2 separate regions of the Mus musculus genome follow, and region 1 is reported to be linked to region 2. Evidence: microRNA targets listed by miRTarBase, many of them from high-throughput screens and not tested one by one. Region 2 holds a microRNA gene; the other region holds the end of a gene's coding sequence. Distances are between the middles of the regions.

The links. The annotated mature microRNA mmu-miR-695 reads AGAUUGGGCAUAGGUGACUGAA and lies in region 2 at 1,993-2,014, opposite strand. An mRNA with a match to its seed (bases 2 to 7 or 8) in the 3' UTR can be bound and repressed. Matches are read on the target gene's strand: a 7mer-m8 pairs with bases 2 to 8, a 7mer-A1 pairs with bases 2 to 7 and ends in A, and an 8mer does both.
Region 1: the mRNA of Tmem239 is a reported target of mmu-miR-695. Seed matches in the 3' UTR shown: 8mer at 555-562 and 7mer-A1 at 917-923.

The regions. Positions count from the first base shown.
Region 1 is chr2:130,406,733-130,409,960 of GRCm38, forward strand. It overlaps Tmem239 (transmembrane 239), which reads left to right. Exons shown (of 2, transcript NM_025753.3): 2 at 1-1,062. The coding sequence ends at 447. Among named protein-coding and RNA genes, the nearest start is that of Tmem239, 1.8 kb to the left of the region's middle.
Region 2 is chr2:155,355,617-155,358,844 of GRCm38, reverse strand. Mir695 (microRNA 695) reads right to left here and starts at 2,028; the gene lies at 1,920-2,028. Pigu (phosphatidylinositol glycan anchor biosynthesis, class U) reads left to right here and starts at 1,421. Exons shown (of 12, transcript NM_001004721.1): 1 at 1,421-1,579. The coding sequence starts at 1,450.

The DNA.
Region 1 (3,228 bases), 25 Mb from region 2:
CCACGAGTGGAGTCGGATATCATCGGGGCTGGCGAGGGGCCCCAGCGGGCAGTGCCCTGGTCAGCCTGGATCATCCGTCAGGACTGGGTGCGCTGGTGGGTATGCCACATACCTCGGAGCTGGACCCAGTGGTGGAATACATCAGGCTGGCGGCAACCACTACAGCGGATGCTGTGGGGTCTGGAGGGGACACTCTACCTGCTGCTGGCACTGATGCTATGTCACGCACTCTTCACCACGGGCTCCTACCTGCTGAGCTCGCTATGGCCCGTGGTGGCTGTGATGTGGAGCCACCTGCTGCCAGCAATCCTGCTGCTTGTGCTCAGTGCCCTGCCTGCTCTGCTCTTCGCAGCCTCCTTCCTGCTGCTCTTTTCCACACTGCTGAGCCTCGTGGGCCTGCTCACCTCCATGACTCAACCAGGCTACGCTCAGGACTTGGACCAATAGAAGGGCAACCCCATCTTACTGCTTGTGTCTGTTGAGCCCTGGCCTAGGGCCTGAGCCCCGTGGGGAGGGGGGCAGTGGAACTTCAACAGACCTCAGACCCCCCCCCCCCCAATCACAAATACAAGTGGGGGTCTGGCTTCTGGGCATCTACCTTAAACCCACATTGGTGTCAGGAACAGGACAGACAGTTTAGCCAGGAGCAAGAGCTTGGACCAACCACTGAGAGCACCCGTATGGATGTGGTAACATCACTTGGTCTTCCTGGCAGAATCTTTTAGTCACATCACCTCAGCCCTACCAGCTTCAGGCTTCCTGAGAATTTCCACCTACATACCCCTGGACTTGTCTGGATTTGTCCCGGATCCTCTCTTTCTACTTCCAGGAGGAACACACACTCTGGAATGGGTCTCACTGCCAGGACGATAGCTAGGGATCTCACCTCACTCACCTCTCAGAAATGGGAAAGAGGCCAATCATGATAGTGTGTGTGTGTGTGTGTGTGTGTGTGTGTGTGTGTGGACCCAAGGCTTTGTGCATAAGCATACACTCCACCCTACACACTCTTATTTTTTTTTTAAGAATCTCCAGGTCTGTTACAAAAAAAATCAAAGTCCTGTTTCAGCCTCCTACATCTTGGCTGATTCACTACTTTTGAACCTTGGTGTTAAGTGAGCCCCAATGCTTTCATGGGTTTGTTATGATCAAAAGTCAGTATCTATTTGCAAAATACTTTGCTGCTGTTGTTGTTTTGAAACAGGGTCTCATGAAGCCCAGGATGGCTTTGAACTATTTAGCTGAGGTGACTTTGAATTTCGGATCCTATTGTCTCTATGTCCAGGGTACTGGAATTAAAACTTGTGCCACCATGCCTGATTTTATGAAAAGTATTTGGTAAGGCCAAACAGCAGTTAAGATGTTTTGAGCTCTAAAAACATATAAGTTCAAAAGGCCTTTTGATTCAGAAGCTAAGAGATTAAATTTCTCTAGGCTTCTACAGAAACTCTGTCACTCATGGAATCCCAGCCCTAAAACAGTTGACACGGAATAGGCAGTGTGGTGAGATGTGCAAGGTGTGTGTCTCAAGCTAGGCAGACACTGGACTGTATGATCTGTGTAATGCTCGAGGCTGGAGCCTGGTGCCAGGGAACTTGTGCAATGCTGTGCTCATGGAAAAAGGAAAGCGCAGAGATTTGCAGGATTGATTAAGCAGGCTGCTTCCACCAGAGGGCTTTGGACCACCCAGGCTCCCCTGGCGTTTGGCCATTTACCTAGCGCTGAGCCTTCCAAACAAAGCTGTGAGTATCAGTTACCAAGTCAAGTGACAGACATGTTAGCCGATCTGCCCCCAGCTGGGGCCCAGACTTCAGTCCTCATCCACTGCTGACCTCTACCCAATCCCTGCTGCTTCCCAGCTCTTTATCTGGTTTAAATCTAACCTGAAAATCATTGCTTCTGAAGCCCTCTAAACACTCGTGCACCTTGAGCCATGGTTCATTTTGGCCAAAGCCTGACAGAGTTTTGAACTCTGTGTTCCTGGTAGACATCTTCATACTGGTAGATAGCTTCAGTGCCTAAAACCCCAAACCAGTGCTTCATTTTGTAGTTCCCCCTGCAGTGCGGCTGTGTGTCAAGGCCAGACATAGGGATGTTACTCCATTAATGATCTATTCCTCATCTGCTATCTGCTTCTCTCAATCTCTCTCTCTCTCTCTCTCTCTCTCTCTCTCTCTCTCACACACACACACACACACACACACACACACACGTAGTTCAGACTGTCCCCAAATTCTCTGTGTAGCTGAGGATGACCTTGACTTTTGACCCTCCTGCCCCTACCTCCCAAGGGCTAGAGTTACACCGATGTGCTCCCGTGCCTACTTTATTTGGTACCAGTGATCAAACTCAAGGTTTCCTGCATCTTAGGCAAGCGCTCTACCAAGTGAGCTACATTCCCAGCCTTGATAAGTTTTTCTGAATTTCATTTTCTACCTGAATATAACAAAGACATAGACACTTGCTTTGGGACATCTGGCCGTAATACACACACACACACACACACACACACACACACACACACACACACACACATACAAACACACACACACAGTGACTGTTTTTATTAGGAGCAGGATAACTACTCAGCACCAAGGCCAGGCTGTTTGAGTCCCAGAGCACTTTAAGAGGCTAGTAAAGAGAAAACCACATGGACTGGAGAAAATACAACTTAACTGAAAATCCTATGGCTCCTGTTAGAGAGGAAGCCCAGGCCTAATGAGTCTAGATGTCTAGAGTGCAGGGACTTCAAAGTTGTCTGTGGTGGGAATAGAGACTAAGATGCCTAGCCTGGACCATGTATCACTGGCCAGGGACATCACTGCAGAGACCTTGGGCCATTCTAGTTAAGAGGGGAGGAGGAGTTAACCAAGACCATATCCAGGGGGCACCGCGGGTGAGAACAACAAAGGGCTTTTTCACCTTTTCTTGAATCAAAATATACCTCCTGCCCCTTGACCTGCCGCTGTGGGATGGGGAGACACAGTGAAACAGGACCACAGACAGGCTGCCCTTACCTAATTAGAGGCTCTTATATTCTACAACCAAGAAACTCAAATTCTCACAGAGGGCCTTGAGGGCCTTGCTCTTTGACACATGGTTCCAAACAGTGCAGTCTAGGCCTCCCTTAGCTTTTCAGATATATAGCAACTCTGTGAGGCTGCCAAAATGACTCTATAGTTAAGAACACTTATTCTTACAAGAGAATCCTGGTTCAGTCCTCAGAAT
Region 2 (3,228 bases):
TTTTTCGCTGATCCTCTTATCCTTTTGGTTGTGAGCCTAGCCTTTGAGGGCTGAGCCTTCTCTCCGGCTGTCTTTCCTGATTCTCATTTATATTTGTTGTTTCCTGACTCCGAGGCTGTCCCCTCTGCTTGGAAACCATGAGAAGGCATCCTGCCGTTCTCATCTAAAATGTCACCCTGTTCTGTCACCAGCATTCCTCCCTTCCCCATGGATATTCTCAATTATGCATTTTATTTTATTTTATTTTATTTTTCTAAAAATATAGTTTTTCCTTTTTAACTGGGGTACAGTATGATAACCCAATACAGTATACAAGTAATCATAGGGTAACTGACATATGACTTCAAACATTACTGTGCTAGGAAAAATCAAAAACCTCTACTCCCTATTTTGAAGTATTCAATACTTTTTGTTAACCATGGTCATACAATCGATGCACTGTTCCATTTTCTTCATGGATATAAAAATTTCTTGCATAATTAATTATTATAGCTAATTTTAAAGCACCCATGTAGCACTTTTCATACATAACGACTGTTGGCGCTTATCAACGGGCTCTGTTGGCGCTTATCAACGGGCTCTCCAAACCCCTGACTTGTTATGTTTGCTTATCTCTGAGCTGTACACACTCCCACCTGGAGGGATTTCAAGCTACCAACCTGAACTGAGAAAAGCAAAACTGCATCCTACACAGAATTTGCTGCAGTACATGTCCTGGTTATTATTCTCAACTTCACACAATCTAAGGTCATTTTGGAAGAGGAAACCTCAGTTGAAAAATTGCCTTCCATCAGATTGGTCTGTGAGAAATTGTCTTGATTTTGAAAAATTGATTGATGTGAGAGGGCCCAGTTCATTGTCGGAGGAGGAAGCATCCCTGGGCAGGTGTGCTGGTGTTGTGCATGAAAGCTGTTTGAGCATGAGCAGAAGAGAAAGTCTATAAAAGCAGGGTTCTTCCGCGGTTTTAGCCTCAAGCTCCTGCCTTGAGTTCCTGCTCTGACTCCCTCGGTTAAATAACTTGCTGAAGGTCGCAAAGCTAATAATTAACCACTCCAAAGTGTTTCCTCGCCACACAATATAGTGCCTTGAGGATGGTTGGCGCTCAGTAAATACGAGTGTCGCACTTTTTAAAAATATAAAGGTAAACATTTTAACATTAAAATATTCACACGAGTGAAATTATTTCTTTAAATTTTGCTCACGATCTCAGTAAAATAGGTACAATATTTCTTCACTTCTCTTGCTTGATCAGAGGCGTAGTCCAAACCTTTGCAAAAAGTTTGACACATCCCACTTTCCGTCGACTCGCCGCAGGGCTTTCTGGGAATGGTAGTCCTAAAGTCTGTGTGCTCCAGCAACAGCCACGGCACTCGTTCCACGGAGGTACTACAGTGTGGCGCGCAAGTCTTGAGGCTCTTCCGCATTGCCTGCGCGCCCGCCTCAGTTATCATGGCGGCTCCCTTGGCCCTGGTGCTTGTGGTGGCCGTGACCGTGAGGGCGGCCTTGTTTCGCTCCAGTTTGGCCGAGTTCATTTCCGAGAGGGTGGAGGTGGTGTCCCCACTGAGCTCTTGGAAGAGAGGTGAGGCCACTGACTAGAGTAGGGCGGTCGGCGCTCTGCCAGCCTGTGAATTGAATTGGAGGTGGAGGAGGTGGACACAAGCGCACGGTTCTGTGGAGACTGACCCGCGTCTGGGGGTTCTTTTCGAGCTGAGGGCGGAGCTTTGGTGTGGAGGATGGGGTGTGGAGGAGATGTGGAGTGTGAGCCCCACTACCCTAGGGATGGGTATCCGAGGGGGCGTGTCCCAGTATCCCGAGTCAGGCGGCGGGATCCGCGGAAGGATGGATATCCGAGGGTGATGTGTGCATTGGGACTTGTGAAGTGTTAGCTTTTGACAGTGAGATTGCTGGGGGTGTTCCACCGAGTAGCAGATAGCCGAGCCGGTGACCAGGACCAAGGTAACCAGTGCCTTTGTAAGAAAGGCAGCTGTGTACTTCAGTCACCTATGCCCAATCTAGGATTCCTCGTGAAGTTTTTCTTAGTTTGCTTTTTAAATATATGTATGTATGTGTGTGTGTGTGTGTGTGTGTGTGTGTATTAAACCCTATTGCATACTATCGCCTCCAAGAAGACAGAGATTGAGCTGAAGGAGCCACAGGACAGTAGAGGAGACGAACAAGTTTCTATAGTCACTTCCTTAGTGTCTGACCCTGAGTAAACTGCCTTCCCTTTTCCGGAATGAATGAATGAAGGACCAGGTTTGGGAAAAGATTAGAAAAAAGAGGACTTTAAGGTTGCAAAGGATCAAGAAATACCCGAGGTTGTGAAATATTCAGAGCAGAAAAAGATGTGGGTTAGGTTGGGGCTACAGTTTGATTTATTTATTTATTTATTTATTTATTTATTGTCATTATTACTTGTGTGTGTATGGGCGGGGGTTGTGTGTGCTTGTGGTGTGTGTTCAGAAGCCAAAGGAGGATGTCTGGTGTCTTTCTGTATTACTCTACCCTTTATTTCCTAAGATGGGGTCTACTTGAACTTGAAGCTATTTCAATTGGGCTGTATGCCCCCACCCCCGGGGGTTTCTGCCGGTCTCCACTCCTACAATCCTCCCAATGCTGGAGTTACAGGCATCTCAGGCAATGGTTATTTTGGGTCTTTTGACAGGGGTGCTGGGAATTTAGATTCAGATCTTCATGTTTGCACATTGAGTGCTCTTATCCCCTGAACCATCTGTCTAGATCAAGTTTAAGTCTTTAAACAAAACAGAACCTACATACATATATACATACATACATACATACATATATACACACATACATATATACACACATACATATATGCACACATACATATATACACACATACATACACATGGATAGCCAGCACCTAGCTCAAACACATCAGCATCCTAGAAGTCTGCTTTGTGTAGCCTTACACTTTGCTTATTATTTGATTTTGAAACGGGATCTTTTCTTTAGCCCAGCATGTACTCAGATTCATGGTGAACAGCCTTTCAAGGGCTGGGATTGTAGGTGTGAGTCACCACATCTAACTTTAGCCTCAAACTTTAATGCCTATGTTCTCATATCACTTGCTGTCATCAACTAATTTTTAAATATTAATTTATTTATTGTGTGTGGATGCTGGAGAACACTTGTGGGAGGTGGTTGTCTTTTATGGTGTGATTTCACTGGAGTAAGGTTTCTAAAGTTTCTTAGTGTATGCCA